Cricetulus griseus: one gene and its partners. The protein of the gene in region 7 interacts with the protein of the main gene of each other region in a biochemical or structural test. Links are inferred from orthologs where the notes say so. Each region holds a gene or a part of one and is shown on either strand. Other genes may lie near its edges. The genes, in order: Lrrk1, Nedd1, Csn2, Klhl22, Top2a, Wee1 and Plk1.

Region 1 (3,500 bases), about 52 Mb from region 7:
AGTGCCTTGCATGCATGGGCTATTAGGTTTCAGGTAAGTAAGAAAATGACAAGAGCACTGGGCCCTAAGGACCAGGAGGCCTCTGAGTTCTCAGTATGAAAATCATGCAAGGCCACGATTTGGGACCCCCCTGGGAAAGCCCTTCTTTCTCCTGTGCACTGTCCCTTTGTTCTTGATCCACATAATGCTTCAGAACACAGAACCCTGTGGTGCTGGGTCCTGAGTACTAGAAGGCAAAGATGGTGGCTCCTCACCTCGATGTTGAGCAGCCAGAACTGGAGGTTGGCCACAGCTTCCTCCCCCAGTGCCAGGTTCCAGACCACTACATACAGGGCCTTGTCTGTGAAGAAGCACTGATTGACGGTGGCCATGCTGGCAGGACCCCCAATGTCCCAGACGTTGAACTCCACGGACTCAACCTACTTGAGCAAGAAGGCACAGAAGGGGGGGCACATTTGAGTGACCGAGGGAGTGAGGAAACCACAAGAAAGTTTACAACCTGGAATGTGTCTGGAAAAGACAATGCAGTGGTAGAAAAGTTACAGACTCCAGTGTGTCTAAGTTAGCAATCCTGGTGAGGGAAAAGAGCCCAGTGGCCCAAAGGTAGACTTCTGGGAGCTTCTATTTGCTGCAAACAGAGTAGGGCATCTGAGAAGATCATGGCCTGTCATATTGCTTATCTTAGGCTCTCCACAGTTGGAAGACATCTGGTGGCAGAAGGGCCCCCACTTTGACATCATGGCTCCACCCTATCTGTGCAAGGGCCAAATGGAGGAGGCACCCTTGAACTTATGTAGGTCAAAGGTTAGGGCCCACCAATGAGGCTTGGGAAATCCCCCCTGACTTGAGAATCCAACAACAGGAACTGGGCTGCCAGTAAGGCCGTGGAAACGGTTTCTCTATCACTATATGAGCTCAGAGCTGGCCTGGAAACCAAGACTACAGTGAGCTATAGCCAGGAGTCATTTCCATGAGGCAGCATTTGGCCTCTAAGACATACAGCATGCTGACCTGGTTTAGTATACAGATGAAAGCAGACAGCTGTTCTTAGCCAGCTAAAGGTCAGCCGCACAGGGCAGGAGGGGCCCACAAGAGCAGCAGTGGCTTTCGAGTGAAGGCGGTTTCAGGCCAGCCTGGGCACCCATGCACTGAAGAAAAGCTGGGAGCAAAAGTGACTGAGTCACTGACAAAACAGCAAAGCCAAGGGTACTGTAGAAAATTCTGGTTACTTGAGAGAACCGTCAGACGTGAGTCAGCTAGAGTCACTCCCTGTCTGTTCCGAGTAGGCCTGGCATTCATTACATCACTGTTCGGAACTCAACAGGCAGGACCCTGCTCTTATTTTTATTTTGGGTGCTGGAGATTGAACTCGTGGCCTTACAAATGCCCAGCACAGGCTGTCCTACCAATGTGTACTCCTAGCCCCAAGGGTCCTGTTGCGGGGGGGGGGGGAAGCTCCTAGTATGTTTGCTTACACCATCAGAAGGTTCCGTTTCTCAAACTGGATTTCCCTGATTTGGAAGGTGGTTTTATGTACAAAAACTCTGCAGTCAAACTTAGCCCTCATTGTGCTGGGCTTGGAGAAGAAAACCAGGCCCATTCTGGACACAGCCTCTCTGCTTTCTACCCTGTCACCCTTTCTCCACCGGGGATCCCTGAATCACCACAGTGAGGCAGAGACACACATACAGCAGAGGAGGACGGTACTGTCTGGCACTCGGGGAAAACCACTTTATGTCTGTTCTACGGATGGAGTGCTGTTATGGTTTGAACTGGAAATGTCTGCTAGTGGCTTATGTCTTGAACACTTGGTCTCCTGCTGGTGAAATCTTAGGAGGTTCTAGAGATGTGGGAGGTGAGACTTGGGGGCAGTAGGTCACTAGAGGCGAGTCCTTGGGAGGGTATTATCCTGGCCACTTCCTGTCACTCCCTGCTTCTTGTCCCCCACAGTGTGAGCAGCTATCTTCATCAGACACATCAACCATCATGATGTTCTGCTCAACAGAAGGGACCAAGCAACAGTGGAATAAACCACATATATATGCTCCCCTCTAAGTCATTTCTGATAGGTATTTTGCATTTTGGTCACAGCAACATAAAAGTGTAACATAAGTGCCAGGCTGAGGTCCCACTGGTTCTTTTCTGCTTCAAAAGGCTTTTTTAAAAAAAGTTTATTTCCACCTGCTTGGTCCTGAATAGAAAAGAAGATGATGAACAAATTGGTAAAGAATTCATCTTAAACAGGATATTGAATGGAATTTTTTCAGGGCTTGAATGGAAGCAGGAATCAGGGAGGATGATGGACTGACTCCTGGGGTACCTTCTCAGTCTCCTTTTAAGGGGGCTGAGAGATGCTGAGGTACACCTCACTGTCTGCTCTGGTGCTTTGTTCTTAGCCCTAGGGGAGCCCCACCCCAGCCTATTTGAAGCTAAGTCACCGAGGCCAGCTTTGAAGTCTGAGCATGCACTCAGAGAGAACCACAGGGGAATCCAGCAGACAAGCAGGGTCAAGAACCATTGGCCCAGAGCCTTGACTTCATTATGACAGAAAGACTACAAGGTCATGGAAAGAACCGATTCGTCACTCTTGGCAAGAGCTGGTGAGCAACAGCACAGAATGTCTTGGGCCTTGCACTCAGAATGTCCAGGGTCTCCAGGGGAATGGAGAACAGACCACAGGGAGGTCCCTCCCTCCCACTGCATGTCCACCATCCTTCACCTTGGCTTTGGAGCCTGCTGGCCTCTGGAGCTCCCACTTGGTGGTTCTGATGGTGGCCTCGCTGTGTGCTACCTGGGGGGCCTTCCCCGTCTGTAAGATCTCCAGGAGTGTGGACTTGCCCTGGCGTGGGGGACCTACGAGGATCATCTTCATCAGCTTACACTTCTCTGCTTTGCGTAGCTGAGCACGCAGGAAGGACAGTGTCGCTTTGGGGCCTGTGAGAAATCAGAGGAGGGGGCAAGTGAACACCCTAGGTGATGTATAACGGGGATGCACTCACATTTCTTAAGAGGCCAAATTCCATCCCAATTTCTAGGTGTTCCAAGGGAAGATGAGGAATCTGAGAGCAGGAAGGGATGACAATAACTACCCCCAAAATTAAGTGTGACAGCCAGGACTGAAGGACAATATCCTTGCTGCCCTGGTTGCCGTATTTTACTACCTAGCCATTCCCAATTGATGTTGGTAGCTTATCGCTGTTGATAGCTAATCGCTGTTGAGAGCTACTGTGCTGGGGCCATCTCCCCAAACTCTGAGGTTGGAGTTGGGCCCCACAGTTCATTCACCCACTGACTCCATCCTTCAAAGCTACCAAGGGAACCTGAGTTATCTTTTCACGGCAGTGATGTGAACAGGGCTGAGGAGGCCCTACCTTCTTTCCTGATCTCTGCAGGTACATTGCCAATGTTCAGGTCTTCAATGTCCAGTTGCCAGAGGTTTCCCAGCTGGCCTAGCTCAGGAGGAAGCTCTCGGAGGCCAGGATTACTGAAGCGAGCAAGTG
Region 2 (4,004 bases), on a different chromosome or scaffold from region 7:
TTTTATTCCAAACATCATACACACTAGAGTGATCTACAGACTAGTCAAATCACATACTCTTAGCTCATCCTCCCAGGAGTCTACCCCAGCAGCCCCAATAATCCCAAACTCCTCAGGCCACCTTACAGGATAGGTATGTCCATGCAGATCTCCCAGCTCTCTCCTCTGGGACCACTAGATCTCAACACTGGTGGTCTTCTTGTCTATGTATCAAGCCAAGGTCATCCTCATCTTAGTGTCTCTTCATCTGCTGCCCCCTCTACCTGGAAAGCTCCTCCCAGATTCCCCTAAGCCATGCCCTTATCATTCAGGTCTCAGCACAAATATCTCTGCCTCTAAAAGGTAGTTTTCCTATCTACTGTGGTGAAAGCAGCCCTTTACCAGTTACCCTATATTCCACCCAACTCAATGTTTTTCATGAAACTTCTGTTGTCTTATTTGTTCCCATAACAATATCTGCCTCCCCATATAGGAGACTTGAAACATTCCTGATCCATAAAGTATACCACAAAAAAGAGTATCTATGTTCTCATCTTTAGAAAAAAAAAAAAAAAGTAGCACAATCTAGTATTCCTAGAAGCCTCAATCCCATTATCCCAAGTTTTTCAAACTCTAAAATTAGCAACATGTTTAAAGAAATTGTCAATGTGTCCTAACTATAACTCTTGGTTCACAACCTCTCACTTTTTATTCAGTGTGATATTCCAAACCATAATTCCAACAAAGTGATACCAGAAGCCAAAGTAGTCCAGAGAGAACTTGAAAGGCTGCTGGAGATACTCTGAAGAGCAGCAGGTGGTGTAGGAGACAGTGTAAAAAAAAAATACACAGGAGAGAAGAAAGGAAAGGCATACTCGAAACCTCAGTACAGGTGGTACAAGAGTACTGACCCATAGGGTTGGGCATAGTGGCGAAAGTCTTTGATCCCAGAACTCCAGAGACAGAGGCAGGAGGATCTCTGAGTTCCAGTACAGTCAGGGCTACACAGAAACCATATCTTAAAAACAAACAGACGAATACTGTATTATTACCCAATAATAACCATCAACAAAACAGTTCTACTGCCTGTATCTAAAGACTAATATACAGCAATGAATTTGAATGAAGTGGGCTGTAGCCAACTTTTTTTTGTAAATAAAATCAATGAAGTTTTTAAAATTAGGGCATGCTGGGCGGTGGTGGCAAACGCCTTTAATCCCCAGCACTTGGGAGGCAGAGGCAGACAGATCTCTCTGAGTGTGAAGCCAGCATGGTCTACATGGTTTTTCGAGACAGGGTTTCTCTGTGGCTTTGGAGGCTGTCCTGGAACTAGCTTTTGTAGACCAGGCTGGTCTTGAACTCACAGAGATCTGTCTGCCTCTGCCTCCCGAGTGCTGGGACTAAGGGCGTACAAGCCACCACCGCCTGACTATGGGTGGTCTTAATTAGCTATAAGATGTCTGTGTGCAGCCGGGCGTTGGTGGGGCACACCTTTAATCCCAGCACTCGGGAGGCAGAGGCAGGTGGATCTCTGTGAGTTCGAGACCAGCCTGGTCTAAAAGAGCTAGTTCCAGGACAGCCTCCAACGCCACAGAGAAACCCTGTCTCAAAAAACCGAGGAAAAAAAAAAAAGAAGAAGAAGAAGAAGTTTGTGTACTGGGACGGTGTCAGGGAACATAGCTCACACGGCTCACTGCTGTCTAAAAATTTCCAAAAGCTTCAGTTAAGAAGTTAAGTCTCTACAGCTGAGGAGCCAGGCATGATGAAGCATTACCCATAGTCCCGTAGTCCCATCCCTTGGGAAGCAGAGGAAAGAGGACTGACATGAACTTGAAGCCAGACTAGGCTACAGAATCACACCCTGATTCAAAGAAATAAAACCAATCTGGGCTAGATAGCTCACTTTTTTTCAAGACAGGGTTTCTCTGTGTAGCCCTGGCTGTCCTGGAACTTGCTGTGTAGACCAGACTGACCTCAAATTCACAGAGATCTTCCTGCCTCTGACTCCCGAGCACTGGAATCAAAGGTGTGCGCCGCCACTGTACGGTAGATAGCTCACTTTTTTTGGGGGGGAGGGGATTCGAGGCAGGGTTTCTCTGTGGCTCTGGAGGTTGTCCTGGAACTAGCTCTTGTAGACCAGGCTGGCCTCGAACTCACAGAGATCCACCTGTCTCTGCCTCCCGAGTGCTGAGATTAAAGGCGTGCGCCACCACTGCCTGGCTTAGACAAGGTTTCTACTCGGTGACTATGAAGCATGTACCCTACTCGCCCCGTTGCCCTGCTCAAGGAAAAAGCAAGCGTGGAGAGTAGAACTCTTAAGTGCAGTAGACACAACTGCAACAAGTTGCTATCATAATGCCGCACAAGGTGCCTACTGGGCAGTGTGGAGCAACCGGTGGATCAAGGGTCCCAAAAGCTGAGTTAAGCGACCTGCCCAGGTCGTTTCAGTTTCTCCTCGCTTGACTTCTGGGATCTGATATCGGTCGCTCAGAGAGAGTTCCGAGCCACACTCGGAACGCACCCCAGGCCCAGGGCGGCTGCGGACCCGAGAGAGAGCAGGCCGCCCGGGACAGCTCTGCCCGCAACTCTGGGGCCCGCGATCCCGTCCCGGGCCGAGGCGACTGACCCCGGGGTCCCCGCCGCCGCCCTGAGCCGGGTGCTCGCAGCCCCGCATCCGGCGGAACCTCACCTCTCCGGTATGGGGCCACAGGGGGCCCAGCTCCAGCCGCTCCTCGCTGCGCTTCCGCTCCCGCCTGGACTGTTAAACTTGGGCGGCCGGAAGTCCCGCCCCGCGTGACGTCACGGGAGAAGCCAGGGTCTGAGCGTCCCGCCAGCTGGGTGGGAGCCCAGACAGGGGCGGTGCAAAGGGAGCTACCCTATCCTTGTAGCTACTGCGCCTTTGTTACTTTCGTGTTGCTGGTTGCTGCTGTGTGTCCAGCACTGTGTTAGGCTGTGGGTGTGTACTAATGGGCTTAGCCTAGAGGAACAGTAGATGTGTGAACTCTCAGGTCCCTTGGCCTGATGGAGCTCACAGTGGCCTGTAGGGAGCTAGTATCAACAACTCTTTATGTAAACATAGAGGGAAAGGGATAACAGAGTAAAAGATGGGGAACGTAGGGAGCTAGTATTAACAACTCTTTATGTAAACATAAGGGGAAAAGGGAAAGGGATAACAGAGTAAAAGACAGGGAACTAGAGGCCAACTTTGGCAGCTGTCAGTTGCCACAAAAGGATGTCACAGTCATCACAAAGAAAATGTGAGGAAGTCTCTAATAAAGGAAATTAACGTGGATGTTGGTTTAGGAAAGGATTCCATGAAGAAGCAGCCGCGTGAAGCTGATAATTAAGAAAGACCTAACCCAAATTGAACCCTAACCCTGGAGGTTGAGAACAAACTCAGGTGGCCTAAGCCTCTGAGCTAACCATCTTTAAATCCCAAGCCTCTTGTGCTGCTGGATCGGTTCCATGAGCACCAACTCCGTGGTTCTTTTTCTGAAGGAATTTGTCTCGGGGTGGAAAAGAACCAAAGAACTGAGTTTTCCTTGCTAAGTGACTGCTCTAGTGACAATTTTCACTTTGATTACTGAGACGGTGTTTCTATGGAAAGTTTATACGTTTGTCCTAGGTGCACACGCAATGTATTTCAGAACTGGGTACATAATGTCTCGGTTATCTGTACCCATACTGCATAACTGGAAGCCTACAATGTCCCAATCCCCACGCCCCCACCCCCCCACACACACACCCCTAGAAGGGAAAATGAAGTCCTACATAGCTTCCAGAGACTGATGGGGAGCAACCATAAAATGAAGGCTGTGAGTCGTATCTGCCTCAGGTATTCTGAAGCTTTTGGTTTTATTATGTTTTTTTGCTGGGGATTTGGCCTAACACGTTGAGATCTGAGAAAGTCGAGTAAAGAAGAGAAGTATGCTTCAAATAGAAGAGACAAATTCCTAACACTGTAACCAGCAAGAAATTTAAGATTTGTATTATATGGTGTGGGAAAACGTCAACACCAAAACTAT
Region 3 (4,082 bases), on a different chromosome or scaffold from region 7:
GCTTCACATTCACTCTTGTCCTCCACGAAAGGTAAGAATTTCAGACATGTTTTGACATATTATTTTCATAATTTATTTAGAACTAAATTAGACTAGAAATAATGGAAATAATATAATTACAGTTTTTTGAAATTAGATATTTAAGAAGTAATGAGATTATTTTAAAAGCAAGGCTTAAAATATAGAAATGTCTAGAAAGATTTGGTAAAAATTACAATGGCTATTGGCTTTATGAAAACAAGAACATGTAACAATAAATACAAGGCCAGTGAATGGTATAAAGAAGAGACTAAGGATTGACTTCTTTAATAAGCTATCTTATTTGATTTGCTGTTCTTTAGTAATAAAATGTACTCAAATTATATCATGGAAAGATTGATATTTCTTGGGCAACAATTAGAAGCAACAAATTACATGTTTTGTACACAAGAAGATTACAACCGTAAAACTTGTCCAGAGTCTTGGAATTCTTGATCTAGCTCATAATGTTTTACATGTGAGATATTAACAATTGTAAAAATAGAGACAAAGTCTTCTGTTTGTAAAATAATTGTAGGAAGATTAGATATTACTTTGAAACCATGATTATGGAAATAAGATGAGTTGAAAGAAAAGTGGCTTATAGTGTGCCAGGTAAAAACAAAGTTCCAGTTTAAAGATGGATACATAAAATGGTAAGGATAAAATATAAGAATTGCAGTGGGATTCTCCCTACATGCATAATCTACAAGGGTACAAATTTCTTTTAAACTAAGACAATTAAATTATATGGAAACCCATGGAGGAGTCTTTAGACAAGGAAAGGTTCTTAATGAATTATGCAGCATCCATCCAAAAAACCCAAACCAGCTTTTTACTAATGGAATAATTTTCCACCGTCAAGTATTGGAAAGAATGCTTTGTAAACATATCTAAATTTTTATTTTTCATGCTGAGATCACTCACCAGCAACACAACAGTTTATGCACAGTCTATTATTTCACTCTAGAAGTGAGGCTCCCTAGTGCTGATGTCTTCATAATCTGGAAATGCTGAATAGTTTTTTCATTAAAAGGGTTCCATAGTCATGACTTCTTCATAGTTTTGTAAGGCGCCCATACTCCCATTAACAATAGAGTGCTAACAAAGAAGAAAGGAAGAGAGCTGTGAGCAGAAAATACTGCTGGTAGCTGCTGAAGTCTGAATTTGATGTTAGACATAGGATATTTAGGAGCCAGAGTAGATTTTAATTGACTCATCCCTTACAACTCGTTCATCTTTTCATTCACAGGACCTGACAGCCATGAAGGTCTTCATACTTTCCTGCCTTGTGGCACTTGCTCTTGCTAGTGAGGTGGGTAAAGAAGCTTCCTATGTAATTAAGATGTAGTGAACGGTCCTCTCACTTGTAGACAGTAACAGTAGTGATGGCTCAGTGTGTAATTAATGGAGAGCTTCAGATCTGTTTATTTAATCAATGCTTCTTTGAGAGTCACAAAGTTTTGTTGTCCCAAAGTTCCTATAGGCTCTCAAAACTGGAACAAATGCTTATTGTGTTATTGGACCACCAGTTCCAAATGAAAAGTAAAACAGACAAGAAGTAAAACAAGAAAATAGAAATACATCAAGTAAATATAACTCCACAGAAGTAGACTCACACACGTGGCTTCAGTATCTCATTCTGGTGATAAAGTGCATGCATTTCTTTGATAATCAGGTCAAGTCTTACTGTGTCTGCCCAAAGGGAAATTCAGAGGAAGGAACATATTCAAGAATTGTGGTAGACTTGTAGGCATAATAAAAAAATGCCTAGTAGAAATTAAAGTAACTTCTTTTTTCCTCACTCATCAAAAATTCCCCAAGTTCATCCAATGTAGGAATGTGCCAATAAAAATTATTAAATTATTAGAGAGAGTAAATGTGTTTTCAAGATTCTAAAAGGCTTATAACTTTTTTGGTTTTTAAGTTTCTGAAAGAGGTAGATGACATAAAAATGAAATAGGAAGGATATTTAGTAGCAAGGTAGATTTTGTCACTAATAAGTACTTTTATTTCTTTTTACAAAAGGAATCACTCAGCATATCCTCTGAGGTAAGAGGTTTTATTGAGAAAAAATTTTAATCCTAAAATAACTATATTTTTAATGATCTGGAAGTCCTAATTGGATCTATAAATTAACACATTTGTATTACTAATGTTTTTGCATACTGAGAGCATTTCCAGCAGTGAGGGAAAGCAATTCTGTCTCAGAGGCAACTTGTAGACTTAGAACACCAAAGTGCTTCTTTTCTGTTGAGTTACATTGTGTTAGCCACACTATAACATATTCCTGTTTGGTAAATATGCTGTGCATTGTATTGGGAAGAAAAATATCTAGATAGCTGCATAATTAGAATTTTCCAAGTTAGTTTCTTATTTGAAATTTTTAACTGCCTCTTCTACACCTTTTTATTTGAGAAGCTCACAATCGTATTCTCTGCCAAGAGCTCTCCCTAATTTGACATGCATTTTTATTATTACTATGTGCTTTTTATGGATTGCTCATTGGCTAGTAGCTACAGTCCAAACTAAAGACAGATACCAATAGAAATACATACATGTGCTATACTGGGTAGGCCTGTTTGCAAAAGGATGCATTTGGTTATTAAAGTTGTCATTAGGTAAATAAAAAAGTAAGATGCAATATAGTCCTAAATGTACCTGAGTGTATCAAATAGATACACTCAGTCTTTACCTTGAACTATTTATTTGTATGTGTTATCATTTGTTTATTAGTGAATACAATTATATACATTTCTTTTCAGAATTCTACAAATGCTCAGAGGAAGTGTTTGTTTCTCATAGTTTATTTGGAGGCTAGTATATTAGCAAGTACTATAATAAGTACTCTTAGCTGTCATTAGACTGTATTTTCAACTCTGTTTCTGTGTTTGGTTTTAAGAATTAAATGGGATTTAAAGATCATTTGTAGCCAGAGAAAGAACTATGGTTGTAAAGGGAATTAACATTGCTTAGATGTCTCTTTATATACTGTGCTCACTCATTCACTTTTCTCTCTTGATGACACTCATCTTTCTTGTATACAATAGGCTTATACAAAATGTTTTAGATAGTTTAAATATAAGATTTCATCAATTTTCCTATTAGTAACCTATTAAAATAGCTTACCAGATACCTTAATTTTAATACCCATTGAAAATACTATTTACTCAGTAAAAATTAATTATTTTTTTTATTTTTCTGAAGGAATCTTCTGAAAGCATCAGTAAGGTAAACCCATTATATTTAATATCCATGATTTATTCATGAAGATAAAAGTTTTGAGATTTTTAATGTACACTTTGTTTCTAACAGAAACTTCAGATGGTTGGACAAATGGAACAGCTGCAAGCAAGGGTAAATTGCTCTTGAAGAGTTTATGTCTTGGTTTTGTGATGTGTAATGAATGCCAGAAAATAATTATAGCATGTATGTTCATAGCAAACAGTGGTCATATACCACCAGTGCTATGAAAGCATACTCAAGTGTCAATGTATTTTCTAAATCATGATTGCAGTTACTAGTGGTATTATCTGTTCTTAATAATTAACATAAGCATTTCCCCAGTAGAAACAATGTCCTTTTTATTTTCTAAATGAATATGATGATGAAAGGACACATTGAGAATGTGGCAGAAATCCTATACTGAACACCTGCCAGAAGAATAATATTGCTTATTAGTCTCTTTATAGTTCATTTTCTTCACCTGTAAGCTGAACACAATCTTAATTTTTTTCCATGAATGCAATTAATTGGCCTTTAGTAGAGTTAATGGTTTTAATTCACATTTGGTTTATGAAAACATTTGTACTTTATGTTTACCTAGTCTTAAGGGCATTTCTAGTTCAAAGATAAGTGGAGTGAGATATGGAACAACTGATTGGACCACTGCTTAAGCTGTATAGTAGAAGAGGTTGCCTTCAAATCAATGCTTTTCTGAATAGTGTCAAGTTCCACTATTAAATCACACTTACATAATAGTTGAACTTTGATAGTTTGTTTTCCTCAGTAAATTGCTTGTTGCTCACATTTTTCAAGTCAAATTAAAATTTTAAAAATTGATA
Region 4 (3,500 bases), on a different chromosome or scaffold from region 7:
AAATATATGGTAGGGAACTGGGAATGGTAAGTAAGGAGGCAAAAGATAGAGAAGATTCATGGCCTTCTAAATGGCTGACCTGTGCTAAAACATATAGTTGGCCACAGGCCCTGTCTTACCTCCAGGCTGGTTGCTTCCTGACCCTAGTAGCTGACTATGCACAGTTGTTTCTGGTTCATATTTCTCTCTCTCTCTCTCTCTCTCTCTCTCTCTCTCTCTCTCTCTCTCTGTGTGTGTGTGTGTGTGTGTGTGTGTGTGTGTGTGTGTGTTGGCAAAGGGATATTTGTAGTAGGTTTGGTTTTCTTGGTTGGGTTTTTATGGCTCCTTTTAAAATCATTTTGCAGTTTTTGAGCATACTGGCCAAATTATTAGAAGGTAATCTTTTTTTTGTTGTTTTGAGACAGGGTCTTCTCTACTTAGCCCTAGCTGTCCTGGAACTTACTATGTAGACCAGGCTGGCCTTGAACTCACAGAGATCCACCTGACTCTGCCTCTCTAGTGCTGGGATTGAAGGCCTGAGCTACCACACCCAGCTTTAGAAGGTAATATTTATTGGTTTGGAGTTTATTTGTTTGTTTTTTGACATAGCTCAGGTTTGCCTTAGACTCTTATTTGTTGAAAGGATGGCCTTGATTTTAAAAAATGTGGTATGTGTGTATGTGTTTACATATCTGCGTGCATATGAGTGCAGGTGCCCACAGAAGCTAGACATCAGATCCCTGTAGAGCTGGAGTTGCAGGCAGTTGTGAGCTGCTTGACATGAGTGATGGGAATTGAACTCTGGTCCTGTGGAAGAGAGCAGTACACTGAGCCATCCTTTAGTCCTGCTCCCCTCCCCCAAAGATTTTTGTTGTTGTTGTTTCAAGACAGGGTTTCTCTGTAACTCTGGCTGTCCTGGAACTCCCTCTATAGACCAGGCTGGACTTGAACTCACAGAGCTTCACCTGCCTCTGTCTCCCAAGTGCCAGGATTACAGGCATGTGCTATCACACCCAGCAAAAGATTTATTTTTATTTTATTTATTTATTTATTTATTTATTTATTGGTTTTTCGAGACAGGGTTTCTCTGTGAGGCTTTGGAGCCTATCCTGGCACTCGCTCTGGAGACCAGACTGGCCTCGAACTCACAGAGATCCTCCTTCCTCTGCCTCCCAAGTGCTGGGAATAAAGGCGTGCGCCACCAACGCCCCGCAATATTTATTTTTATTTTATGTACATGGATGTTTTGCCTACATGTATATGTGTGCACCATGTGCATACCTGATGCCTGTGGAAGCCAGAAGAGGGCATTGGATCCCCTTGGAGTTGGAGTTACAAACAGCATAAGGAACCATGTGGGTCCCAGAAATTAAACTCTGATCCTCTAGACGAGCAGTAGCCAGTGCTTTTAATTACTGAGCCATCTCTCCAATACCTACTTATTTTCCTTTTGAACCAGGCAATGGTGGTGAATGTCTTGAATCCCAGCACTTGGGAGGCAGAGGCAGGCAGGTCTCTGAGTTTGACACCAGCCTGGTCTCCAGGGTGAGTTGCAGGACAGCCAGATCTACACAGAGAAACCCTGTTTTAGAAAAGCAAACAAAAAAATTGTGAAATTGTAAGGTGTTAATGAGGTGCTTTTTTTGGCTTTAGGGATAAGAAAGAGCTAATACTGATAAACTCAAAGGTCACATAGGTTTGGCCTGAGCAAAGTCTATTTGCTGTTTTAGCACTGTTTTTTTTTTTTTTTTTTTTTGAGACAGGGTCTTGCCTTGTAGCCTGGCTGGCCTGGAGTTTACTTGCTATATAGATCAGACTTGTCTCAAACTCAGAGTGCTGGGATTAAAGTCAGAGTCACTGAGTCTGGCTTGTTTTAGTATTCCTGTTTGAGATCTTCCTCAAAGGTGGGGGATATTGTTGTAGGCCATCTTTTGGTGTCTTGACAGTTACATGGACATTCTTAACTCTCAGCCAATGAAAAATAAACCTGATTGTGGTAGTGAGAGGCTGTGTGTTTCTCCCATGTTCTCTTAGCTTTCCCTGTCTTTCTTTCCTGCCTCAAGTCTTCTCCCAAAATTCTTCTCTGTCCAGGGCTCAGGATCAAATACTAGGCAAGTGCTTTACTGAATCACACCCCTGTCTTCTTTTTAATTCTCTTAAGTTTTCGGCCCTTGAGTTTGTGATCTTCTAGTCTCAGCCTTCCAAGTAGCTGGGATTATGTTTGTGAGTCATCCTGCTAGCCTCAGAATACTTCTGTTTTCCTGCAGTGCTGAAGGTGGCACAATAGGATGAAGACCTTGTGGATGAAGAGACCAGGTTATAAGACAGAAGGCCAAGTGGGACCATGGCCGGGAGGAAACAGGGAATAGAGACTTTGGGATCACAGGGAAGTCACTGTAGCAGGTGCCACAGGTGCAAAGCCTTCAGCCTATGTGGCATCGTGCAGCTCCCTACATGCTCACTCCTTGTTCCCTCTGTCTTACAGCTGACTACAGTGGTCAGGGCTGCTGTGGCTGTCAGGATGGCAGAGGAGCAGGACTTTTTCCAGCTGTGCAAGCTGCCAACACAGCCCTCCCACTCACACTATGTCAGCAACACCTATCGAAGCACACAGCACTCCCAGGCCCTGCTCCGGGGCCTGCTTGCTTTGAGAGACAGTGGGATCCTCTTTGATGTTGTCCTGGTGGTAGAGGGGAGACACATTGAGGCTCATCGAATTCTGCTGGCTGCATCATGTGATTATTTCAGGTAAGCTATGTTTATTTTTTCAATGTTTTTATTAATGGGTTTCATTATGATACTCTCGTACATGTATATAATGTGTTTTGATCATATTCTCCTTAGTACTCTTGTTCCACTCCCAGTGACTGCCTTCTTCCCTACTAGTCCTCCTTCTACATTTCTGTTTTGTTTTTGTAGAGCCACTGAGTATATTAGGGTCTCTAGCAGGAGAGTTGGGTGAAAGGTTATTTAGTGACATGAGGAGTACCTTACTGGTGGCTGTCTTCCCTCAGCAACCACTGTGTATAGATCCTCAAGGAGGAGAAGCCTTATGCACTCCTCCCCTGTAACAGTTTCTGTAGGACTGATAAAAGGTAGTCTTAGCTTTACCAAGTGTGGTTACTGGTACTGGAGGTGGCTGGGTCTTCTCTTTCCTTTGAGGCTCTCAGCTGTGGAGACTCCACCAACCAGCCTGGCACAGAAGAGATCTTAAGAGTTTGTCTTTCAGTTTGGCTCTCTGCTGGGTATGTTCTCATTTTTCAAAACTGCATCATTACTGGCTTGACTTCCATTGTTGTTGGGAGGTTTTGTTTTGTTTTCAAGACAGTTTCTCCATGTAACTCTGGCTGTCACTCTGTAGACTAGACTGGCCTCCAACTCAGACATCTACCTGCCTCTGCCCCCCTACCATGACTGGCTTTTGGGGTATGTGTGTGTGAGAGAGAGAGTTTTCTTTTTACTTTACTGTGGGCTTAAAGCCATGGAAATTGAAAGAATAGTGTGTGATGAGCATAATAATT
Region 5 (3,500 bases), on a different chromosome or scaffold from region 7:
TGCCTTCTACTGGCCTCCTTGGGCACCAACCCACACACATAGTGCACTGGGATACATGCAGATAATACACCTATACACATAACATTATTTTTGATTAAAAGGGGATATAATGGCACTGGAAAAGTGAAGACAGGCAGGTTCCTAGGGGAATTGCTAGCCAATTATGGAGCTTCAAATTAGGTGAAAGATGCTGTTTCAAAAAACAGAAACTTGTGGGTGGCTCCTGAGGAATGACACCCGAAGTTGACCTGACCTTTACATGCATGCATACACATACATATATACCTACATACAAAAGACAAGAATTTTTTTTTTTTTTTGAAGTCCTGCTGTGTAGCTCTGGCTATCTTGGAACTCACTCTGTAGGCCAGGCTAGCCTGGAACTTACAGAGCTCCACTTGCCTCTGCCTCCTAAGTTCCTACCAATTAGTGTTTTTTTGTTTTGTTTTTTAAGATTTTATTTATTATGTATGCAACATTCTGCTTCCATGTATATCTGCACACCAGAAGAGGGCACCAGATCTTATAACAGATGGTTGTGAGCCACCATGTGGTTGCTGGGAATTGAACTCAGGACCTCAGAAAGAGCAGTCAGTGCTCTTAACCTCTGAGCCATCTCTCCAGCCCCCTACCAATTAGTTTTTAACAATAGGTCACTCACTGGTTCAGAGCCTTCTACTTGCCCAGAGTAAATTTAGCTAACCAGACCTTGTGAGATCACTGACCTGGGGCTCCCTATATCTTTTGATCTTTTTTCATATCACCAGTCTTCCAGATAAACTATCTTGGGCTTAGGAGGTGGCTCAGTGAGTAAAATGCTTGCTACACACGCATGTGGTCCTGAGTTTGAGTAATCTGAAGCTGGGTACAGCTGCCAGGCAGTGGTGGCGCACGCCTTTCGTCCCAGCACTCAGGAGGCAGAGGCAGGGGAATCTCTGAGTTCGAGACCAACCTGTTCTACAAGAGCTAGTTCCAGGACAGGCTACAAAGCTACACAAGGAAACCCTGTCTTGAAAAACAAACAAACAAAAAGCTGTGTATAGCAGCGGATGTGTGTCTGTAATCCTGGTTCTCTGATGGTGTAATGGAAGTGGAGGCAGGAGAATCCCTGTAAGCTGGGATACACAATAAATACCAAGCAACAAAAGAGTCCCTGTCTCAAAAAGGTGGCAGGCAAAGATTGATACCCAGGGTTGTCCTTGTACCTCCATGTGTGTCCATATTAACACGCTCTAAATAGATACATATTACCTACTTACACAAAGGGGGAGAGAAAACAGAGCTAACTCCTGTCCTCTATATCAGCTTTCCACAGGCACCTGCCTCATGCCTCACATCTTAACACTCTTTCTGTTGCTGTTCTGTAACACCCTACCCACTTTAGCATTCTTTTGTGTGTTATATATGCATGTGTGGAGAAATTTGGGTGCCAACCACCCCCTTATTTTTAAGGCAACATCTCTCACTGACCAAGTCCTTACTTGGCTAGCTTGCAAGTCCTGTCTTCACCTGCCCAGCACTAGGGTTATAAATGAATGCTACTACACTCATTTTTATGTGGGTTGTCCTAGGATTAAAACTCAGGTCTTGCTGGGCGGTTGTAGCTCACTCCTTTAATCCCAGCACTGGGAGGCAGAGGCAGGAAGATCTCTGTGAGTTCGAGGCCAGCCTGGTCTACAAGAGCTAGTTCCAGGACAGCCTCCAAAGCCACAGAGGAACCCTGTCTCGGGAAAAAAAAAAAAAACAACTCAGGTTCTTGAACTATCTGCCCAGCCCAGCCAGCCCAGCACTCTTTTTTTTATTTGGTTTAGTTTTTTGAACCAGTCTTAATATATATTTAAGCTAAGCCTCAAACTCAAAATCCTCTTCTCACTGCATCTCCAGGTACCAGGGTTATAGATGTGTTACTATAGCACACATTTCTTTGTGCCAAAGTATTCACTGTATTAATTTTCCTTTTTAGCATTCTGCCCTACAGAATACATATTCATTATCTGTCTACCTGTACTAAATCATGAGCTTGGCAGGTTTTTGTTTGGGTTTGGATTTGGAGCAAGATCTCACTATATTCCTTGATGGGCCTGGAGCTCATAGACCTATCTGTCTCTGCCTCAGCCCTCCGAATGCAGGCTTGCCCAGGTAACCGAATGTAAGAAGTTTCAAGGCCATTTTGCTAAATGATATTCTTTGCTTTCTTTAGCCCTTTGACTCGGTTGTTATTTCCACCAAAAGATGATCACACATTAAAGTTTTTATATGATGACAATCAGCGTGTTGAACCTGAATGGTACATTCCTATTATTCCCATGGTGCTGATAAATGGCGCTGAGGGAATTGGTACCGGGTGGTCCTGCAAAATCCCCAACTTTGATATCCGTGAAGTCGTAAATAATATCAGACGACTGTTGGATGGAGAAGAGCCTCTGCCCATGGTAAGTGTTGTGGGTTAGGAACTTTACCACAGGCATAGTTGAATAAATTCTACAGTAAAGAGTGTACAAACACAAGATTTATTTCATATATTAGATTTGTTTTTTGAACATATTTGTGATTTAACTTTTAAAAAACTTTTGTTGTTAATTTAGCTCCCAAGTTACAAAAATTTCAAAGGTACTATTGAAGAGCTGGCTTCTAATCAGTATGTGATTAATGGAGAAGTAGCTATTCTAAATTCCACAACCATTGAAATCTCAGAGCTTCCCATCAGAACGTGGACTCAGGTAAATATCTTAATTTTTTGGTTTTTCAAGTGAAAGATGTTATTGTTGCTGTTGACTATTCAAGAGACTCCTTATAAAACGATTACTGTCCTTTGTTTTTTTTTTGTTTTGTTTTGTTTTTAGACTTACAAAGAACAGGTTCTAGAACCCATGTTGAATGGTACTGAGAAGACACCCCCTCTTATAACAGACTATAGGGAATACCACACAGACACCACTGTCAAGTTTGTCATAAAGATGACTGAAGAAAAATTAGCAGAGGCAGAGAGAGTGGGACTACACAAAGTCTTCAAACTGCAGACTAGTCTCACTTGCAACTCTATGGTATGTCTTATTTTGTAAGAGATACATCTTTAAAAACTAATATTGTTGGCATGTGGGTCCCCTCTAGTAATCCTAGTGATCTGAAGAAAGAGACAGGAGGATCACTATGAATTCCAAAGCTATCTTGTGCTGTATAGTCTCAAAAGGAAAGGCTGGAGAGATGTCTCAGCAGTTAAGAACACTTAATGCTTGTTCTCAGCACTGGGTTCAGTTCTCAGCACCCACATGGCAGGCAGTTCACAACTGTGTGACTCAGTTCTGAGCGATTCAAGGGCCTCTTTTGGCCTCCATGGGATAGTGCTCTAAGCACAGGTTGCAATACAAACATGCAGGCAAACATCCATTGATGTAAAATCTTTTTTCAGTAATTGATAATTGATATTTAACGGGCATTTCTGATAATTTTTATAAAGGTTATGCAATTTATTGATTCAAAGCTTGAGTCTTCTTTTCTTT
Region 6 (3,500 bases), about 12 Mb from region 7:
ATTAATGGCATGCGCTACCTCCAACTGGCTAAGCCTACACAGTGGATTGTTTCTATTTTTAAATTGTTTCCATAAAGATGAGAAGTGTGTGGTTTAGAGGGCCACAGAGATGGCTTGATGGTTGAGAGTGCTTGTTTTGCAATAACAAGTACTAGAGTACAAATTCCAGCATCAATGCAACAGGTTAGGCTTCCTGAATATGCTTCTATCCCACCCCAGCTCCCAGGAAAGCAGAGACAGGAGAATCACTGGGGCTTGCTCATTTGTAGTTTAGCAGAGAAAATGTGAATGAACCCTGCCTGCATTCAGGGAGTGATGCTGCCTCAAAGAAAAAGATAGAAAGGCACTAATACCCTATTCTACCTTCCAGATATACATTACATATATAAAAATCTTGTTTAAAAAAAAAAGAAATGTAGTTGGCTAACTAGCAGGGCTACATAGAGACCCTGTCTCAAAAAAAAAAAAAAAAAAAAAGGTTTAGAAACACTTGATATAGTAAGGTTTACCCTTGTTTATTTTCATGAATAACAGTCTAATTTGTGAGTCAGTAAGTGATGTAGATAGTAAAGACCTCTTCCCTTTCCTGGTTTATTAGTTTATTTAGAGACAGGATCTCGCTATGTATTTCTGGCTGGCCTCAAACTCCAAGATATCTGTCTGCCCCTACCTCCAGAGTGCTGAAGATTAAAGGTGTGTGTCACCATGCTCTGCTCTTGTTCTCTCTGGAGGTTTCCCCCTCAGAAAAAGAGGAAGAAACAGATGGTTTACTCTGAGAAAGTGAACTGAGTTGGTTGCTGAGGTTAATAAGTTGAAAGAAAATTTAAATCATGTTTTCCTTCTCAGCACTGAGAATTTAACCTAGGACCTATATATGTTCAGTAGGCATTGAATCCTGCCCTTTTTAAATTTTGAGACTGTCTTTACTAAGTTATCCAGGCTAGCCTTATATTCATTTTGTAGACTAAGCTGGCCTCAAACTTATGGTCTTCCTGCCTTAGCCTCCCAAATAGCTAGTATTATGTGCCTCCATCACCAAGCCTGGTGTTTGTTACATTGTATTTTTTATATTTGTTAGTATTTCCTACTAAAACAATAAATAAAAGTTGATATCGCAAGCAAGTTGAAGAGAGAGATTCTATTAAACATTTTCTTGATGGAGAATTGCAGTTGTTCACTATAGAGAGAAGGGAACATAAAAAATGTTTTGGTAAATTTTAATAAAAGGAAATTAACAAAAATGTTAATTTTTGCTGTTTTTGTTAGGTGGGAGTTTGGCTGATGCTATAAGTGAGAACTACAGAACCATGAGCTACTTTACTGAAGTAGAGCTAAAGGATCTGCTTTTGCAAGTTGGCCGGGGCTTGAGATACATACACTCAATGTGTTTGGTTCATATGGATATAAAACCTAGTAAGTATTCTAGATGGCTGTACTGTTTAGAACCTGGATAATGGGAATAAATTACTTCATTGTAGCAATATGAAAACATCTTTCTACTTTTCATTGATTACTTACTAGTATTGTTTTATGATGAGGACTAGACCCCTTACCCCTGCCCCAAACTGGCCCAAGTATTTCATGGTTGATTCCTTTAAACTGGTATCTGTTTCAGTATCATACTATGCATCTGGCTATATCATTTTCCTTTTTCAGGTTTCACTCTTCTACATTTTTTCTTTGTTAATCTATAGTTTGTTTTTATTTTCTGTTCATTGGTGTTTTGACTTTGTGTATGTCTGTGAGGGTATCAGAATCCCTGGAACTGGATTTATAGACAGGTGAGAGTTGCCATGTAGGTGTTAGGAATTGAACCTGATCCTCTGGTAGAACACCTAGTGTTCGTAACCAGTGAGACATCTTCCCATCCTCTCTACTTCTTAAAAATTGTAGGCTTAGTCCTACAGATAAACTCCCATGTTTAACTTGTTGCTTTCTTGTATTTTTAGCTTATATCTTCCTTATATTTCCTGTAAATTGAAAGTTAGAAGGGTTGATGGTTTCAAACTAACCATTGCAGGCAAAGTGCTTTTCTTATAAAACAGCAACAACAAAAATCAACTAAGTAGATGGTATTGTGTCACACACCTTTAATCCCAGTACTCAAGAGGCAAAGCAAGTTGCAGGATAGTCAGAGTTGTTACACAAACCCTGTCTTGGGGGAAGCAACTAATTTTTAATTTATGTATATGTGTGCATTTGAGTGAATTTATGTGTACCATCTGTAATCAGAAGCCCTTGAAAGCTAGACAAGCATGTTGAAAACTTTGGAACTGAAGTTAGAGGCATTTGTGAGCCACCATGTGGGTTCTACATCTTTGAAAAGGTTCCTTTAAAATTGAATTTTATATTGCCAGGTGTTGGTGGAGCATGCCTTTAATCCCAACACTCGAGAGGCAGAGACAGTCGGATCTCTGAGTTCGAGGCCAGCCTGGTCTCCAGAGCTAGTGCCAGGATAGGCTCCAAAGCTACACAGAGAAACCCTGTCTTGAAAAACCAAAAAAAAAAAAAAAGATAAAATTTTTATAGATAAAACTTTTTACAGATAAAAATATTTGCTTTTATTGTAAGGGAGCATGTCAATTTGGGAAATCTTAAGTAGTTTTATACAACTTGTGAGTTGCAGTTAAAAATTTTTCACCTGACTAAAGTTTGTTGTAAAGGAAGAACAAAAACAAATGTAGTGTCGTAGACAATAACCTGCACTTGAGAGACAGAGGCAGTGGAAGCCAAGCTTAGTTTATATAGTTAGTTCCAGACTAGCCAGGACTGCAAAAGTAAACCCATATCTCCAAAAAACAAAACAAAAACAAAAACAGGAAAAAATGTTTGGAATAGTCATGAGATCAGAATCTGTAAGATTAGGCAATACTACTTTATCTTTTTGGGTTTTTCCAAGATAGGTTTTCTCTGTAGTTTTGGAGGCTGTCCTGGAACTCACTCTGTAGACCAGGCTGGCCTCAAACTCGGGAGATCTGCCTCCCGAGTGCTGAGATTAAAGGTGTGTGCCACCAACGCCTGGCTTATTTTGGGTTTTTTAAGACAGGATTTCTCTGTGTAGCCCTGGCTGTCCTGGAACTTGCTTTGTAGACCAAACTGGCCTCAAACACATTGAGATCCGCCTGCCTTTGCCTCCAGAGTTCTGGGATTAAAAGGCATGCACCACCACTCCTAGCTTTATTGGTATTATTTATATTTATATTTGACCTTGTTTGTTAAATATAGTTATTTTGATTCAATAGGTAATATTTTCATATCTCGAACCTCAATCCCGAATGCTGTCTCTGAAGAAGGAGATGAAGATGACTGGATATCCAACAAAGTTATGTTTAAAATAGGTAAAACTATTAATGATAAGTTAAATTAGGAGTTGGGGGTGTTGAGTGAGTAGATATGAGCCTGGTAGGCATGTATGTGCAACAGAGCATGTATAGATGTTAGAGGACAAACTTATGTGATAGTCCTCATGTTCCGTCTTGTTTCATGTTGGGGCCTTTTGT
Region 7 (3,205 bases):
CGCTTCAATGTGTGTTTCATTAGACTTAGTTATCTGTAAGCACACAAAGCAAAAGGGTTATACTACTTCACCCATCCTTCCACCTTGTTGGGTGTACAAGGTGACCTTCATTCTTTGCTTGAATTGGTGCCTTCAGGCTGCCTCCCTGAGTGTCAGTGACAGCTGCTGTCCTGGAAGGCCAGGCTGTTGGAGCAGAGACCTGAGCACCTGACACTTTGTGACCTCTCAGTATGTACCACATACCTGACACAGAAAACCTGGTACTGACTCAGTTCCCCCACAGCAGTGATAGTTAATGGGTACTGTGGGAAGACTGTTAGCTGTGGCAGGTAATCCTGTGCTCCCTCCCCAATTTTGTGCCTGGCCAATGAATGACCATGTTGCTCATCTTCTTAGGTGTGGAGAACCCATTGCCTGACCGTCCCCGGGAAAAGGAGGAACCAGTGGTTCGGGAGACGAATGAAGCCATTGAGTGCCACCTTAGTGACTTGCTGCAGCAGTTGACCAGTGTCAATGCCTCTAAGCCCTCAGAGCGAGGGCTGGTGCGGCAAGGTGAGAGGACATCACAGGGGGCTGAACATGTGGAGAAGGCAGGGCATCTCGATCAGCACAGCAGAGAGCCCATTTCTTATAGATCAAAATCCAGATGAGTCAGCATGACACCCAAGACCCTCCTTGGTGTACCTTCTGCTGGTTTCTGCTCCCTCTTGTTTTATAGGTGGCTGATAGGTCACCTCGGCATAGCTGCATCTATTGTGTCTCCTTTCTGCCCAGGGAATTAATACTCCCTTGGTACTCAGAAGATTCGGGACCACTCCAGCCTCAGGGCTTTTGTGCCCTCTGTCACCACCCTGACACCCACTACCAGCACTTCCCAGCCTGACATAATTCTCTATAACATTTCTTCCCAACATATTTGTGTCTTTGCAGAAGGGTCTTGTGTGCACTGAGTTGGTTCTGGCATTGCAGGAGTTGTCAGGTCTGCTCAGTTTCTTCGTCACTTTAATCTGGGGCACTAGGCCTTCACCAGCCCCAGTGCTAATGACAGCAGCTTAAGAGACTTTGATCACACTTCATCTCTGTGGTTGGAACGAGGGCCCTTCTAGATACCTGGGGTTTTCTTTTCCTGTCCTCTCCTTCCTGGGACACAGTAAAGGGGTCCATTTAATGAAGAGGGACTTGGCATCCTGGGCTGCGATTTTCCATTTGGGTGTCTAGGTTTGTACTGTCAGGCTCCTCCCCAGGCTTCATGGGGTACCCCCCTCCTCCCAGCCCTGGGGAGGGCTGCCTGAGAAGACAGGAGAAGGGGCTGGCCTAACCAGTGGTCTGTTTCTATCCCAGAGGAGGCTGAGGATCCTGCATGTATCCCTATCTTCTGGGTCAGCAAGTGGGTGGACTATTCGGACAAGTATGGACTTGGTAGGTGTCTCCAGAATGTGGGATGGGCAGGGGATGGTGTGGCCATGGTAGCCTTTGAGTGAGGAGCAAGTGATGTCTGTAATTGTGTGTCTGTGTTACCAAGAATTGTTAGGGCCTTATGCATGCAGGCACTCTACTACTAAGCTATTTCCCAGGCCTTTGTCCACCTCCTCCTGCCTTTCTGAGATAGCCTTCCACCTGCCATTAGGGTATCAGCTGTGTGACAACAGTGTGGGGGTGCTCTTCAATGACTCAACACGCCTCATCCTCTACAATGACGGTGACAGCCTACAGTACATAGAACGTGATGGCACAGAGTCTTACCTCACCGTGAGCTCCCACCCTAACTCGTTGATGAAGAAGGTGGGAACTGACTGCTGAGGGATGGTTTGGTAGGGTATGGGGGCTACCTCAGGGTCAGGCCCTTATTCTGGAATCCTTACCCCAACTTTTCAACCAGATCACGCTCCTGAAGTATTTCCGAAATTACATGAGTGAACACTTGCTGAAGGCAGGGGCCAACATCACACCTCGGGAAGGTGATGAACTGGCCCGGCTGCCTTACCTGCGAACGTGGTTCCGCACACGCAGTGCCATCATCCTGCACCTCAGCAATGGGACTGTACAAATTAACTTCTTTCAGGTGTGCAGGGACAGGCGCCTGTACTTAGGGTGGCTGGATGGGGTGGGAGTAATGTCCCTTTCGCCAGCTGGGGTGCCTTCCTTCCCTTGCCTCAACCTCAGGCACCAGCTGAGCTCTTCACTCACTTCCTTCTTCCCTCCTAGGACCACACAAAACTTATCCTGTGCCCTCTGATGGCAGCAGTGACCTATATCGATGAGAAGAGGGACTTCCGCACATACCGCCTAAGTCTTCTGGAGGAATATGGTTGCTGCAAGGAACTGGCTAGCCGGCTACGCTATGCCCGTACCATGGTAGACAAGCTGCTAAGCTCGCGCTCTGCCAGCAACCGCCTGAAGGCCTCCTCTTAGGCCTCTGTCCTTCGGACTGGTGCTGCTTCACTCTGCAAGCTCTGTGTGGGCCTGCACTGCTGGGCTCCTGGGGCTGCTGTCCAGTGCTCCCTGGCTCTGGGGGCTGGGTGGGGAGCAGTGCACCCCCCTGAAGGGGTTGCTGTGTAAGTTATTTTTGTACATGTTTGGGTGTGGGTTACAGCCTCCTCCCCTGCCCTCAGCCCACTGTATGGATTGTATAGATATTTCTATTGAACTTGGGACTGCCCTTTTATTAGCTTTATATACATTAAATATATGTACATTGCCTCCCCCCCTTTTTTTTTTAATTCTGTATTTCTTGAGGGTACCGTGACCCCAAAGTATTTCTCTGCTCCAACAGCCTCAGGCTGCTAAACCGCTGCCCATCTTTTCTGACACTCCTGAGACCAGACTGAGCCATGTGTTTAACTCCTTGGTCCACCTTTGGAGCCCCTGGTTGTCTGAGCTCTTTGTGGCATCTGGCAGGAGTTCCTGGTATCCAAAGCTGGCGGATAGTAGGGCAGAAAGAGGCTCTCAGAAGCGCAGGTCCTCATGGCATGGTGGGTGTGGAGCAGCAGCCTTGGGAAACGGTGTGTGAAGTACTGGATGAAGCCAGCAGGGAGTTGGCCTAGTGCCTGGTGTACCTCAGTTGGGAGCTCCCTGTAGTGGTGCTTCTGGGGATGGGTAGGACAAAGATCCTGGCTTAGCTATGCCAGGCCATCCCTGGTCCATTTCCCACCCAGGCTCTAGTACACACCTTATTCCTCATGGCACGGAGTAGGTCTCTCACTGA

Evidence for each region.
Region 1: the proteins of Plk1 (region 7) and Lrrk1 form a complex in vitro, tested with the Homo sapiens proteins (2 studies listed by BioGRID, with this or other methods). The link is inferred for Cricetulus griseus from reciprocal best matches to the Homo sapiens genes PLK1 and LRRK1.
Region 2: the proteins of Plk1 (region 7) and Nedd1 form a complex in vitro, tested with the Homo sapiens proteins (2 studies listed by BioGRID). The link is inferred for Cricetulus griseus from reciprocal best matches to the Homo sapiens genes PLK1 and NEDD1.
Region 3: of the proteins of Plk1 (region 7) and Csn2, one has a biochemical effect on the other in vitro, tested with the Homo sapiens proteins (3 studies listed by BioGRID). The link is inferred for Cricetulus griseus from reciprocal best matches to the Homo sapiens genes PLK1 and CSN2.
Region 4: the proteins of Plk1 (region 7) and Klhl22 form a complex in vitro, tested with the Homo sapiens proteins (2 studies listed by BioGRID, with this or other methods). The link is inferred for Cricetulus griseus from reciprocal best matches to the Homo sapiens genes PLK1 and KLHL22.
Region 5: of the proteins of Plk1 (region 7) and Top2a, one has a biochemical effect on the other in vitro, tested with the Homo sapiens proteins (2 studies listed by BioGRID). The link is inferred for Cricetulus griseus from reciprocal best matches to the Homo sapiens genes PLK1 and TOP2A.
Region 6: the proteins of Plk1 (region 7) and Wee1 form a complex in vitro, tested with the Homo sapiens proteins (2 studies listed by BioGRID, with this or other methods). The link is inferred for Cricetulus griseus from reciprocal best matches to the Homo sapiens genes PLK1 and WEE1.

Annotation. Positions count from the first base shown.
Region 1 is NC_048596.1:130,973,393-130,976,892, reverse strand, and holds part of Lrrk1 (leucine-rich repeat serine/threonine-protein kinase 1), read right to left. Parts: intron 3,485-3,500; coding exon 3,372-3,484; intron 2,935-3,371; coding exon 2,720-2,934; intron 420-2,719; coding exon 255-419; intron 1-254.
Region 2 is NW_023276806.1:158,759,238-158,763,241, forward strand, and holds the start of Nedd1 (protein NEDD1), read right to left. Parts: upstream 2,801-4,004; 5' UTR 2,669-2,800; intron 2,374-2,668; exon of another isoform or gene 2,355-2,373; intron 1-2,354. UniProt on the Homo sapiens protein: Required for mitosis progression. Promotes the nucleation of microtubules from the spindle.
Region 3 is NW_023276807.1:152,937,210-152,941,291, reverse strand, and holds the start of Csn2 (beta-casein), read left to right. Parts: upstream 1-1,282; coding exon 1,283-1,354; intron 1,355-2,046; coding exon 2,047-2,070; intron 2,071-3,225; coding exon 3,226-3,249; intron 3,250-3,333; coding exon 3,334-3,375; intron 3,376-4,082. UniProt on the Homo sapiens protein: Important role in determination of the surface properties of the casein micelles.
Region 4 is NC_048597.1:71,571,253-71,574,752, reverse strand, and holds part of Klhl22 (kelch-like protein 22), read left to right. Parts: intron 1-2,464; 5' UTR 2,465-2,500; coding exon 2,501-2,727; intron 2,728-3,500. UniProt on the Homo sapiens protein: Substrate-specific adapter of a BCR (BTB-CUL3-RBX1) E3 ubiquitin ligase complex required for chromosome alignment and localization of PLK1 at kinetochores.
Region 5 is NC_048600.1:112,082,388-112,085,887, reverse strand, and holds part of Top2a (DNA topoisomerase 2-alpha), read left to right. Parts: intron 1-2,200; coding exon 2,201-2,432; intron 2,433-2,585; coding exon 2,586-2,720; intron 2,721-2,843; coding exon 2,844-3,044; intron 3,045-3,500. UniProt on the Homo sapiens protein: Key decatenating enzyme that alters DNA topology by binding to two double-stranded DNA molecules, generating a double-stranded break in one of the strands, passing the intact strand through the broken strand, and religating the broken strand.
Region 6 is NC_048596.1:90,565,998-90,569,497, reverse strand, and holds part of Wee1 (wee1-like protein kinase), read left to right. Parts: intron 1-1,266; coding exon 1,267-1,413; intron 1,414-3,242; coding exon 3,243-3,338; intron 3,339-3,500. UniProt on the Homo sapiens protein: Acts as a negative regulator of entry into mitosis (G2 to M transition) by protecting the nucleus from cytoplasmically activated cyclin B1-complexed CDK1 before the onset of mitosis by mediating phosphorylation of CDK1 on 'Tyr-15'.
Region 7 is NC_048596.1:78,499,339-78,502,543, reverse strand, and holds the end of Plk1 (serine/threonine-protein kinase PLK1), read left to right. Parts: intron 1-396; coding exon 397-552; intron 553-1,341; coding exon 1,342-1,419; intron 1,420-1,627; coding exon 1,628-1,782; intron 1,783-1,879; coding exon 1,880-2,062; intron 2,063-2,205; coding exon 2,206-2,412; 3' UTR 2,413-2,705; downstream 2,706-3,205. UniProt on the Homo sapiens protein: Serine/threonine-protein kinase that performs several important functions throughout M phase of the cell cycle, including the regulation of centrosome maturation and spindle assembly, the removal of cohesins from chromosome arms, the inactivation of anaphase-promoting complex/cyclosome (APC/C) inhibitors, and the regulation of mitotic exit and cytokinesis.